2 linked regions of the Struthio camelus genome follow. The protein of the gene in region 2 interacts with the protein of the main gene of each other region in a pairwise test. Links are inferred from orthologs where the notes say so. Each region holds a gene or a part of one and is shown on either strand. Other genes may lie near its edges.

Evidence for each region.
Region 1: the proteins of AIRIM (region 2) and ZBED1 interact in binary tests that used the Homo sapiens proteins (3 or more experiments, as listed by UniProt). The two-hybrid records come from large-scale screens. The link is inferred for Struthio camelus from reciprocal best matches to the Homo sapiens genes AIRIM and ZBED1.

Annotation. Positions count from the first base shown.
Region 1 is NC_090942.1:146,894,715-146,901,637, forward strand, and holds the start of ZBED1 (E3 SUMO-protein ligase ZBED1), read left to right. Parts: upstream 1-3,900; 5' UTR 3,901-4,066; coding exon of another isoform or gene 4,067-4,181; intron 4,182-4,689; exon of another isoform or gene 4,690-4,894; intron 4,895-6,923.
Region 2 is NC_090964.1:10,953,070-10,959,806, forward strand, and holds AIRIM (AFG2-interacting ribosome maturation factor), read right to left. Parts: upstream 1,989-6,737; coding exon 1,744-1,988; intron 1,662-1,743; coding exon 1,482-1,661; intron 1,397-1,481; coding exon 1,278-1,396; intron 950-1,277; coding exon 909-949; 3' UTR 524-908; downstream 1-523. Other genes in the region: CDCA8 (borealin), read left to right, coding at 2,213-2,294, 3,513-3,641, 3,919-3,959, 4,496-4,571, 4,903-5,042, 5,677-5,756, 6,082-6,183. UniProt on the Homo sapiens protein: Part of the 55LCC heterohexameric ATPase complex which is chromatin-associated and promotes replisome proteostasis to maintain replication fork progression and genome stability.

The DNA of each region.
Region 1 (6,923 bases), on a different chromosome or scaffold from region 2:
CAAAACTCAGATTTCTTCTGTTTACTCTGCTCCTGTGCTTCACTTTCTTATCAGCATAGCTACCTGACAAGGGTCACCTTTCCCAATGACATTATTTTCTCAAAAAGAGAAATATCTGAAAAAGGCTGAGAAAGGTCAGAACTTCCCTGTCTTCATGAACAAATGCCATCACCCTGATGCTGTTATACAGAAGGTAGCTCTTACACCCATTTACTATCTTCCCCACTGTTACTAAAGAAAAAACAGATTTCATTTGATAATTTCCCACAGTAGAAGATTCTGGTCTGGGTTTCAGGGCTTTTCTCTTTAGTAGCTTCAGACAGCTCTCCCCTTGGCAACAAAGTTTCTTTCTCCTTCCCAAGCTACTAATGAGGGTGCTGAAGAGCTAACTGTAGTGCTTTATATGATTCTGCTATGCTCCAGTGCAGGAGCCTGCAGCCTATTAGAATATCAGGCATGATGATACTTAATTTGGGGGTATCTAAAGCGATTGTTTTTTGCATATAGGGGAAAAAAGATTAAGAGTATGCAGTCTGTCAAAATTGTTTGCAGGTGCTCAAAAACCTACATGAATCCCAGACAGCGATCCTATTTCCCAGCACCGCCTAATCTTGTGGGCACCTCCCCACTGAACCTGAAAGCTCCTCAGGCATTTAACTTTATTCACCTACACATGTTAAGGAGATCCTGTTTTGGGAAGACAGGCACTTGTCTCTTGCCTAAAGTTCTATTACAATCCAGCTTTAGGAAGACAGGCTTTTAAATCCCTTGGCAAAGCCTGAAAAATTAGCAGCAGTCAGAATTATGTCTTCTGGTGTGGCATACGTGCCAAATACTTAAAGCATATATCAAATTAAGCAAGCAAGTAGAATTCTAAATTTACTGTTTGAGAGGGATTGATCTAACACCATTTACGTCTTAAGCAACTGCCCTAACTATTATGCCATGATTCAGGCAAAAAGCATTAGCGACCTCTCCTACTGAATTTGAACCGCTGTGTGGTGAATGCAACAAGTTGCTTGACTTGGTCTCATCTCGAAGGGAGCAAAACTAAGGGACCAAACTCATATTCCTGAGAGAGGTGCGTTGCATAGGAAGTCGTCACAGGATAAACACTCAAAATAGGCTAGGACTCCATTTCACTCCCCTCACCATCCACCCTGTGTAAGAGAGCATTTGACTTGCTAGGCTAACCTTGGGTCCCACCCTGTCTGCTTTTACATAGCCTCTCATTCCTGGCTGCACAGGACCTTAACTACAGCAGCTGTCGTCCATGAGACCTTACAGTGGTTGATTATGCCATGCTGCTGGGAAGTTTGAGCTAAGGGTTTAATTAGAGCCTAGCAACAACATCATCCACTTCCTTTCTTACAGCTTAATGCATCTTTATGCAAAAGGTGGGTGGAAACACTATGATCACATACTGCTTCATTAGTGCCAGTCCTGCAGATGGGTTGGCGCATGTGGAGATGGAGCATGTGGAGATGGAGCATTACTAGCATTTCCAATGACTTTCCAAGAGGATATCTGTGTTCTAACCACAAGCTGGCTTTGCCCACTGGCGGCAAGAGATCACTTCACAGTCAGTGGAAAGAAGGAAGCGCCCTAAGTACCTCAGAGGAAGCAGTCATCTTCTGCAGGTCTTCAGAAGTGCCTCTTTCTATCCACCAACTGTATAGGAAAGTCAAGGTAACTAGATTACACCTTTCCTCCCTTCCAGGGGTCAAACATACAAAATTTCTTTGAGGTAGTGTCTCAGGGAGGTATCTAAAGTAGAGGGACAAGATTCCATTCCAACTACTCAGAACTTTGCAGCTAATGATTATACGGAGAAAAAAAAAACAATATGTCAATAAAAGATGAAAACTATTAAAAAAAATCAAGGAAAAGAAAATATCAATTAAAAGTAGAATGTATTATAAGAAAATTTTTGAAAAGCATTAAGCACTAAATGTTTCTTTATATTTTCCTTCCTTCTCCATTTTGCCTCCCACCAGCCTGGAGAAAAACTGACTGAGCTATAGTGTTGAAAAATTTTTTTCTCATTCTTTCTCTAAAGCTCTCTACTCATGAACCACGGAGGACTGAAAATTAGTTTTAACACCTTCAGAAAAAATAGTGGGACCAATAAAATCATAGTATTAACCAAACAGTTGTTCCCCACTTAGTCTAATTCTTTATTTCTGTCTGAAAAGGACAGAAACATATTTATTTTCATAGCTTGAATATGCATCGATTGATTTCACTATACTAGAAAACCTGACTGAGAACTTTCCTGTTTATACTCAGATCATGTAAATACACTGCAGGCAAGTAGCACAGTTTAATGTTGCAAAGGGCTTTCATTAACATTATAATTCTGAGAAAAGGCTATAAAGCAGCATAAAGGAATCAAGATTTGATTTTTCCCGAGATAAGTTGAGAAAATAATACACCTTAACTAAATGTCAGTGTTTCCTCTTTCATGTCTTTTTGTGATGCTCATTTTACCACTTCATTCTTGGTTGAGAACAATATACATTTAGAATGAATCCTTCATTGATGCAAGCAGATTTACAACATTCTGTTTATTACTTATGTATGTCTAATTTCATGCGTTAATAGAAAAAAGGGAAGAAATTCATCAGAGATGCACAATATTAACTCTGTATTTTTGTCCTAGAGAACTACACAATAAGCTTTTATTTTATGCATATGACTGAAATTAGACAGCCAATTCTGCTGAACAATCTGACTTGACAATGAAAAACTATGTTAATTAAATCTCTCCTAGACGGTAAGTTTATTTTTCAAAAGAGATTGCACTTCAAATGCATTTCTAGAGCTTTGTACGGTTGCCCATGTCATCCCCAAAGACAAAGTGTTACTTACATCAAATCGAATGTGTAGGTAATACTCTTGTGAAACTATTGTTCGTACTTCTTGCTTTGTATCGATGTTGTTACTCATCTGTATTTATGGAACAATACCAGCTCTGTGAGTGAAAAACAATGTTAAGCAGTGCATTTCCAGTAGCCTAAACCCAGTCTACCAAAAGGGTTGGTAAGTAGGATTTGCTGTTCTGACTCAAGTGCTTGGCATCTCAAAAATTAGACTGAGGGTTTAAAATTGAAAACATGAAAGTTTCAAGATGAAGCACTTGATACGCAACTGCTGTAAAGTTATGTGTTCATGAGGCTGGTATAAAATTCAGGCTCCGAATGCAGCAAGACTTCTTAAGGCTACATTGCAGCGAACCTACATTCAAAATACTCAGAACTTTTCTGCAACGGCCAAAGCTGCAACAACGGGAGAAGTTAAGTTTTCTGACGTCCAAGGCGACGCGAGCTTTGCCTGGAATACGCGCTGCCTACGGGGTTAAGCAAGAGCGGCTCGGCCGCGCCTCAGCCAAGCAAACCCGAGTCGCCCCGACGGCGGCGCGCGGTCACCGAGCCCGCCAGGGCCTTCTGCCTGTTCACGTGGCGACCGCCCAGCTGGCGGCCACCGGCGCGGCGGCCCCGCCGCCCCTCACCGCGGCTGCCGCGCCCGCTCCCCGGCGGGGCGCCTCGCCTCGGCCCGGGCGACCCGCTGCCGCTCCGGCTCCGCAAACGAGAGGCCGCCCCGGCTCGCCGACCGGCTCCCGGAAGGACTGCGCCGGCTGCCCCACCGCAGCTCCGTCAGGCAGCCGAAGCGCGGCGCAGCGCAGCACGGGCCCTGCCGCCCGGGGCAGCCGGGCCGGCCGCCGCCACCGGACCCGCGGGGGCAGCAGCTTCTCCGCCGCCGGCGCGGCGCGGCGCGGCCCTTCCCCCCCGCACATGCCCAGAAGGGCGGGAGCCGCGGCGCGGCGGTGACAGCGGCGGCGCTTCCCTTCCGCCGGGCGGGGGCTGCGCTGCGCCGCGCCCCCGCCCCCGCCCGCCCCGCCCGCAGGCGGCGGAGAGCCCCGGCCGCGGCCGCGCACGCACAGCACACGCACACCCGCGCGCGCACACACACACAACCCGCTCGCTCGCTCGCTCGCCCGCCGGGGCGCCTTGCCCGCCTCGCCTCGCCTCGCCTCTCCCCGCGCCGCCAGGGGCGGGAGGCGGCCATGTCGCTATTGTCTGCGCGAGCGGTGCCCTTGCTCAGGGTTTACTGCATCGGCCTCGGCGTCATCCTGCACCAGCTGCGCCGCCGCCTCCGCCCGCGCTGCCCCCCGGCCCCAGGTGAGCATCGCGCCCGGCGCAGCCCGGGCACGGCGGGGGGCGGGGCGGGGCGCCGGGGGCTGCCGCCGCCCTGGCCGGGGCGGCAGAAGTTTGGCGCTGCCGCTCCGCCACCCGCGGAGGGCGGCGGAGCCCTGCCGGCCCGCGACCTGGCCTGTGGGGGCCGCCGCCCGGCCGCGACCTTGGCCGCAGCCGGGCCCCCGGTCCCCAGGCCTGGGGACGCCGCCGCCGGCAGGCCGCCGAGTCACCCCCCGCCGGGCTCCTCCTCCCCGCGGGCCGCGCCGCCTCGGGGCAGGGGGCCGGGGCGGCCGCTGAGGCTGGCGGTGCGCCCCCTCCCCCTCCCCGCCCCCGCCGCCCCGGGCCCCGCCTCCCGCCCGGCGGCCGGGCCGGGCCGGGCCAAGCCGAGCCGGGCCGGGCCGGGCCGGGCCCCGCCGCCGCGGCTGCTCCGTCCGGCCCCCGGGGCCGCGGCCGCCCCGGGCGCGGGGCGGGGCGGGGCGGGGAGCCGGGCCCCGGACGGCCCTGGCTGCGCCGCCGGCCTGAGTGCGGCCTCGGGAGGCGGCGAGGGCTCCGCTCCGCGGGGGGCGGGGGTGCCTTTCTTGTGCGCTTCCCTTTCTCTCTCTCTTTCTTTTTTTATTGTTATTGTTTTATTTTCTTGACCGCTGTGCCTCAGACCCCCGGCTTAGAGACGCGGAGCCAAGTAGTGTTCCCGGGCTCAGGTAGGTGCTCGGGGCAGACGGGCTGTCAGCGCCGGTGCGCGGGGGCTCGCCGCGCCCGCCTCCCGCCCGCCGGCCCCGGGGGGTCCTGGCGGCGCCCCCGCCGCCGAGCCCGCGTCCTGCCGCCGCCCGGCCCGGCCCCCGCAGCCGCCGCCCTGGGAAGGAGCCTGTGTGCTCTCAGCGGCCAAGCTGTAACGCTGCTGTCATGAGTTGCCGGCCTCTGCGCTAGCAAGCTATCGACGTTTGTACGAGGGACTTCAGGGGAGTTGTTTGTGCGAGAAGTTAACGTTTTTGCATCTTTCTGATTTTGGTCCACAGCTTATCTGATAATAACTCTCAGTTTTTCCCATATAACTTTTATGACGGAAACTTTGAGTTTTCCAGAAAACAAAACTCTGAATTTCCTCTTTCCTGACATCAGTCTCTTAAGCTTTTAAAACGTTTGTAATTTTATAAGCTTAACAGCAAACTACAAGTCCGTACGGACATGTACAGTATCATCAGGACTCAGCAAAAAACTACATACAAGTTGGTGCCTCTGACTTTCTCTGCCTAGCTGCAAGTGTGCCTTTGTTGAACTGTTGGTAGTTAAAACAAGAGTAACAGTAAAAAAATTGGAGAGAGCATAGCATTTCAGTAAGCAGACGAGGCATCCATGTGTAACTTAGGTTGCAGAAATAATTGTTTTAGAGACTATCTGAAGCACTGAGGAGCAGAAAGAACAAGTAAGCTACAGGGTAAATGCGTATCTGCGCATTTCACCACATGTGGCCCCACTGGATAGTGGTACAGTTAAGTTTATTCATTCCTAATAATTCTGCAGCAGGTTTGGATTCTGCTTTCTCATTCTCAAAATGTAATGATAAAAAAGCAAAAACAAACAAAAGAATCCTAACAACAAAAAAGGCAGATGTGTGTACAATTTGAAGTCATCTGAGCATTTTTCTAGCATTAGTGTTTCTTGGCAGAGTAAAACTGGGTATTGTGCCTAGGGTGTGTAACACTTTCCAAATCTTTTTTAGAACTGAAGAGAAATAGCATGACAGAAGTGTGACCCAAGTATTTTGTTATATTACGTTCTTAAATATTATTTTAAAAAATGTTAAATATAGAAATGTCAGATTAGGCATAGTGAACGTACAACCTGGGAAATGTCAGCTGGGCCAAGTAGGACCAGCATAGATTTGACAGATCTGGAAAGTTTTCTTTCAGTTCTAACTCAGGCTGGTTTCTTCCAAGGACAAGTAATTTCCTCCTGGGATAGTTGTGCACAATTGCTTCTTGGCAGTTACCTTTACCTGCTGCCTTGCTTTAACTTGGTTTGTCTAGCCATTCCTTAAAAAAAGCAAGTCAGCTTGTCAGCAAGAGCATTTTTATCTAGATGAGCCTAGTTTTCATATAATAATTTCAAAATAACAGCTATATTGTGACAAAAAGTATTTCAAAAAGTGAAAGGGTTGATTAGAATATGCTTAATTAAACCTTGGATCAGTAAACTTATTGTGAAAAAAAAAAAACAAGTTACTTTTCAAGATGGTAATCTAGAAAGCTTTGAAATGCATACGTTAAAGATTCTGTATATCTTTTTGCATGGATGTCCTCTCACAATTATACACATTTTATTGTGATGATAACTGTCATAGTATCTTCCATGAGAGAAAACTTGAAAGGAAGAAATGGGACTGGGTAGTGAACTGATCCATGTCTCTGATCCAGTCTCCTTGGCCTCAATTAGATTGTCCGAGTTCCCAGTCATAATGCAGCATAGGTGCAGCTCCGTTGTGGAAGTTATAAAATAGAGACACATCTCATGCTTGAACTGTAGGCTGATGGATAAAGGCGATACGGAGATTGAGTGTGAACGTAGCCCTTCTGTCCTGAGGTATGCTGTTCATCTTCCAGGAAAAGCTTACTTTCTAACATCTACCAGAACGGTGTTCAGGATCTTCAAAAGTAAAACAAATTAGCTCCTTTTCTTTCCCCAAACTCTGACTAAGTTGTATGCTCTTGGTATATGTGCTTTAACACATGT
Region 2 (6,737 bases):
GCCCCCGTGAGGAAGAAGAAAGCCTTATGTCCATCTCTTTACACAAGGATGTTTGATAAATTGTGGATTAATTTGACAAGGGTGCAGAACCTAACTCGTGTTCAACTACAAAGAGTTTATGTCCTTCAGTCTTTATATGAAAGAAATGGATTGTTAAGCTCATCTAGGATCATCATCGAAACATCATACAGCTCTGAAGGCCACGTAGTAACAAAACTTCCCTTAACAATGCTACAAAGTACACTCTTACTCTTGAAAACTGCACTTGCTAGACCTCACGTGTCTAAGCTTTATCCGTGTACCTCCACGAACACATTTTCAGACCAAATTAGCTTTCCTCTTCACTGCACAGATGACTGAGGGAAGACGTGGGATTGTATGGAAGATGGGACGAAAGAAAATACGTTGCTCAGAGGCACAAGGCACAAAGAGTTTCCAAGCCCTGATTCGGCATCTTTTATTTATTTGTAAGGACAGTACTTAAAAATCTCTCTTACGTGATATCAAAGTGCAGGACACTATGTTTTATTTATGTATTTATTTATTTGCAGGACCCTTCTAAATACAATCGGTACCATTTCTTTGCAACTTAATGAGTCTCAACGTTTCTTTCGGTATGCAAAATATCCAGGGTACACAAGAGAACGGCCAGCTTCTGCAGGTGGAGATGACAACTCACTTCCTGCTGTCTTCTTTGGATACTAAGTCCATTTCCATTTGAAAATGGAACAGCCCAAGCATTTCCTAGGCCACGTATCAACTTAGCTTCCAAAAGACATGAGAAACGCTTACTCAGCTCATCCTCCTCTTCATGGCTATATCACAAGTCTTATACCAGATACTTATAGGAGATGATCAACATCAGTGTCTCCTGTCCTCCCTCAGGAGCCTGGTTAGCAGCACAGCTTTCACTGATTGTCAAGAAAAAGAGAAATCTTAAGAAGTGTATCTAAAAAAAAAAAAGAAATAATTAGTTTAGTACATTTTATTTGTACTGTACGTCCACAGAAAATTAACTTATTTCTAAAAGCTATAACAAAGAATCTTAAGCGACGTTATCGTGGCAGACCAAGTAAAAGAAAGCACCAAGCTCTCTGCTTTGCTATGCACAATGATGCCACTTCATTTACCCCATAAATCACAGGCAAGATCTCGGAGCACATTGCAAAGAGAAAGCGCACGTGCAGCGAGCTCACCCACTGCAGCGGGACGTGCAGCGAGGGCACCTGCCGGGCCCCACCGCCAGCACGGAGCCGCACCAAGACGCGGGGGACTACCTTGAACGACGTCTGGCTTGTAGCGCTCCAGGATCCTCTCCCAGGACTGCGGCAGGGCCTCCATGTCCGCCAGGCTGTCACAGCTGATGCGCAGGAGCAGCAGCTTGCTCTCCAGATACCTTCCTGCCCGATAAGGACCAACACCGAGGGGGGACGGCACCGGGGGAGGGGGGCACCGGAGGGCGCGACACGGGGGAAGGATACAGGTGCCGGTAGTAGCGCTCCACGTCCTGCAGCCCCTCCAGCACCTCGGCCAGCGAGGGGCAGCGCGGCCCGCGCCGCAGGGCGGCCGCCAAGCCCAGCTCCGCCGCCCGCTCCTCGTAGAGCCGCAGCACGGCGGCCACGGCGGCCGCCACGGCGTCCCGCACGGCGCGCAGCTCCGCCCTGCGCGGGACGCGGCGGCTCGGCTCGGCTCGGCCCGACCCGGCCCCCGCCGCCCCCCCCGCCGCCGCCGCCGCCGCCTCACCGCCGCCCGCCGAGCTGCTCCAGCGCCGCCTCGGCCGCGCCGCGCTGCTTCCGCCACAGCCGCGCCCGCAGCCCGCCGAAGGCGCCCAGCGGCGAGCCGCGCCAGGCCAGCCGCCGCGCCGCGCCCGCCTGCGCCGCCAGCCCGCCCAGCGAGCCCAGCAGCGGCGCCCAGGCGGCCAGCGCCGCCCGCCAGGCCGCCTCCTGCCGCGCCACGGCCGCCGCGCAGGCCCGCAGCGCCGCCGCCATCGCCATCGTCACCGCCGCCGCCGCCATGCCGCCCGCCGCCTCAGCCCTGCGTCAGCGCCGCGTCAGCGCGCCGCCGCCGTGCTGCGTCAGCGCGCCGCCCGCGCCGCGCCCCGATTGGCCGCGCCCGCGGCGGCGGTTGGGTTTAAACGCGCCTTGGGCGGGCTCCGCTAGGCCGCACCGACACCGGCTCCGCCACCGACCAGGCTCGACCCGGCCCGGCCGCCATGGCCCCCGCGCGGAGGAGGGCGGGCGCCACCGCGCGCAGCAGGAAGCTCGCGGCTTTCCTCAAGGACTTCGACCGCGAGGGTGGGGGGGGGCCCGCGGGTTGGGGGGGGGGGCGCGGCCGGCCCTGGGAGAAGGGGGCCTGGGGGGGCGGCGGGCCCTGAGGGGAGTCTAGGGGGAGGGGGCCTGGGGGGCGCGGCGGGCCCTGGGAGAAGGGGGTTTGGAGGGGGGCGGCCTGGGGGGGTGGTGGGCCTTGGGGGGGGTTCAGGGGGAGGGGGCCTGGAAGAAGGGCGCCTGGGGGGGCGCTGCGGAGGGTGGGGGGGGTCTCGGGGAAGGGGGCCCGGGCCGGCTCCGCGGAGGGTGGCGGTGGGGGGGGGGTCTCGGGGAAGGGGGCCCGGGCCGGCTCCGCGGAGGGTGGCGGTGGGGGGGGGGGTCTCGGGGAAGGGGGCCCGGGCCGGCTCCGCGGAGGGTGGCGGTGGGGGGGGGGTCTCGGGGAAGGGGGCCCGGGCCGGCTCCGCGGAGGGTGGCGGTGGGGGGGGGGGTCTCGGGGAAGGGGGCCCGGGCCGGCTCCGCGGAGGGTGGCGGTGGGGGGGGGGGTCTCGGGGAAGGGGGCCCGGGCCGGCTCCGCGGAGGGTGGCGGTGGGGGGGGGGGTCTCGGGGAAGGGGGCCCGGGCCGGCTCCGCGGAGGGTGGCGGTGGGGGGGGGGGTCTCGGGGAAGGGGGCCCGGGCCGGCTCCGCGGAGGGTGGCGGTGGGGGGGGGGGTCTCGGGGAAGGGGGCCCGGGCCGGCTCCGCGGAGGGTGGCGGTGGGGGGGGGGGTCTCGGGGAAGGGGGCCCGGGCCGGCTCCGCGGAGGGGGGCGGTGGGGGGGGGTCTCGGGGAAGGGGGCCCGGGCCGGCTCCGCGGAGGGTGGCGGTGGGGGGGGGGGTCTCGGGGAAGGGGGCCCGGGCCGGCTCCGCGGAGGGTGGCGGTGGGGGGGGGGGTCTCGGGGAAGGGGGCCCGGGCCGGCTCCGCGGAGGGGGGCGGTGGGGGGGGGTCTCGGGGAAGGGGGCCCGGGCCGGCTCCGCGGAGGGTGGCGGTGGGGGGGGGGGTCTCGGGGAAGGGGGCCCGGGCCGGCTCCGCGGAGGGTGGCGGTGGGGGGGGGGGTCTCGGGGAAGGGGGCCCGGGCCGGCTCCGCGGAGGGTGGCGGTGGGGGGGGGGGTCTCGGGGAAGGGGGCCCGGGCCGGCTCCGCGGAGGGCCGCAGTGGTGGTGGGGGGCGGCCCGGGGGTGGCGGCGGCGGCGTGAGGCCGTGCGCGTCCCCGCAGTTCAGAGCCGGGCCGAGCGGCTGCGGACGAACGGGGAGCGCCTGGTCAAGGAGGTGGAGGACCTGTACAACATCGAGATCCTCCGGCTGCCGCTGGCCGTGCGCGAGATGAACTGGCTCGACTACTTCGGTACGGGGGGGGGCGCCGGGTGCGGGGCTTCCCTTAGGCTAGAGGGAGGGGGAAGGAAAAACCGTGCCAGAGAAAACTGAATCCCACGGTGCCTTAAGTCTCGTGAGTGAAAAGCCTGCGAGTACTCTTGGAAGCACTCCTCTCTTCTTGCCTTAGGCTGCTCACTTGCTGCCAAGGAAACTTGTTTGTGCTGTGTTTTTCCACCATTCTGGTGAAGTATTAAAGCATTGTATAAGCTGACCTGGATGTATATTGATTTTTAATGTTTTCCTTGTAGCTAAAGGAGGAAGCAAAAAGGTCTTAGAAGAGGCAGCAACGGTAGGTGTCTAACATAAATACTATGTTTTCCTGAGGACATTTTATGCCCCTGTAGGAGAGAAGGGTTTCTTGAATTTGTACAAAGGCTACAATAACACAGACTGCATAAACACTTTCACAGCTACTGTGTTAAGACCTAAAGGTAATAAACATCTATTGTATTTATTGTAGGCTTTGTCTGACCATACTGTTCTTTGCCTAGGGTGCGCTGCTAGCTTTCCTGATCTGCTTAACTTCACTCTTAGATCCCTGAGAGAATATGCACTTTTCTGTAAAGCATCTTAAAACCAAGCTGTAGGGAAGAGGCAGAAGGATACTTGTAGCTGCCAAATGAGACTCCTTAGTACTGAATGTTATGCACTCCTGTTAAGTTGCTGTCACTTCTAGAATAACATGAAAGCTCCCAGTTTGAGCACAACAGAAGAATATGGATGTATTTCTGTTCTAGAATAATTAAGCATTTGCTCCACGACTTTGGCTCATCAGTTATGCTGTACTGATGATTCTAATGTTATCATTACTGTTTTTAATTGTAGGTAGACTTGGAAATAACAGAAATAAACAAGTTAACAGCGGAAGTTATCCAGACTCCTTTAAAAATCATCAAGAAAGGTCAGTTTGCTTTTAAGGATTGTGATGAGTTCAATAAGATGAAAGCTTACAATGGTCTGTGTACTGTAAATGATAATTCAACTCCTATTTACAGCCTTCAACATGTTTAAACACAATAAAATGATTCTTCCTTTATTCCTGTTACCAGAAGTAATTTTACTTAATTTTTTGAACAAAACTTTAAATAATAGTGTTCTATCAGCTGCTCTTATTGGGATTTGGATTTCAGGAGCAAATTGTTGCCGAAAATATTTATCATTGTTTATTTTCTGACCCAACTGCTAGCTCATGACTTATTGCTTTCAGCTTAGATAACACTTTCTCTTTTTAGCTGAAAAATCTAAACAGGGTATTGAAGCTATTGAAGAAGAAGCAGAGTCTCCTTTACACCCTCAAGCAAAGAAGACAAAACATGATAACCAATCTCTTGCAGAACTAGAAGCTGAAAATATTAATCCGAGAACTGGGAAGGTAAATAGCTACTGCTATGATGACTCTGTTCTCAAGATGTAAACTATTTCACTGAGATGATGCCTGTGATAATGGTGTTCACGGCACTTCAAAGAGGACTTGAAAATAGCTAGCCACTGTCTCCTGGAATGTCTAGTGATGGGGATCTTGGTTTTTCATTTGCTTTTGGAGTGCAGTTACTTAGCTTTGTGCAAATGCTTGATCCCTGCTTCTATTGCTTCTGTAGATCTGCAGGGTCTCACTCTTCATCCCTTTCCTCTGAGCTAATGTATTTATGGTTGTATACAGAGTGTGATACTCACTATACTAGAGACTTTTCTAACCGTAGTGAAAATTCTTTACCAGTGCCAGTTCCTGCTGCTTTTGCTGTGGGCAATAATGAATATATCGACAGTACTGGGTCAGATTAAGTTCATGTAGTCCAGTGTCCTCCTAATCTACAGCAGAGCTAGGGGGGGAACATATGAGTGATATTAAAATGTGAAAGACTACAGAAGTCTGTATGGCATTTGGTTCAGGCTTTTTGTGCCTTAAAAAGGAAGCTATTAAGTCAAACTCTTTGTGTGGAAGCATTTATTCATGTTGGGCTCAGCTGTCTGGTGATAATATAACTGATTTGAGTCATGTGTTTCAGGTGAAGGCATCCACCAAAAAAGTGCCTGTGACCAAGAGCAGAAGAGCTCCTTCAACAAGAGTGAAACGCATAAGTAAAAGGTATCAGGAGATAGCCTTTTCACTGGCTTTCAGAAAAGGAGAGTAAGTGTGTTGCTCATAAAACTCAAGTGGAATGGAGTATGTTTCTACAGCATGGCATGCCTATGCATCAGCCTACTAAATCAATCAGTGATTTGACAGTGAATGAAAGACAGGCAACTTCCTCTCCTCTGAGGATCAGCTTATCCCTAGCTTTGAGGTTCACCCTTAATCAGTAAGAACCTCTGACTTTTTTCTGTGGTGGCCCCTTCATTTGAGGCTATGATAAGACAGGGCTCGGACATATGTTAAAATGATTCTTCAGAGCAGGATTTTTTTTCTTTAGCAGATCAAGCAGAAACAACTTTATCACTCCAGCTACTGGTAGAATTGTTGATGTCTGCACTCGGGGAGGTACTTCCATTGTCACACCCAAGTTTGATTCCAGGTTTGTGTTCTATTTCTCTGTTAATCTTTAATACAGAGGAGGTCTTAACTGTTTGCTTTATGTATCTGTCATCTATTTGCAAAATGGTCCTTGATGACTCTTTGAATCTGTAACGAAAGACCTTGGGTTTAAGCGTGCCTTGATCAGTGTGCCTGACTAGCTTTTTTGAAACTTTTTAATAGAGCATGTGTAGTGTTATCTGAAAGTCCCATGTTAGAATGGGATCATGGAAGCAGAGATAAGATTTTGACTGGTACCCATAAGGAGTTTTCTGTGGAGTCAGGATTACACATTGAGACTTCATAACTCCATTTTTTTCCTCCATGTGAATTACTTTTTTGCAGAGTTTGTGTGTGTGAAATTTTAATTCCTTTCCTACTTGTTCAGTGAACATTCTCTGAATCTGTTCAGGCCTCATAGGCAGTCAGGCTTTTCTACTGTTTTTTTAAGCTATATTATAGATGGATTCTCTTGTGTGTGTGTATATACATATATACATGTACATACACACCCACATATCTGTGTGTGCCTCATATATTAAAAAAAAGAGAGAA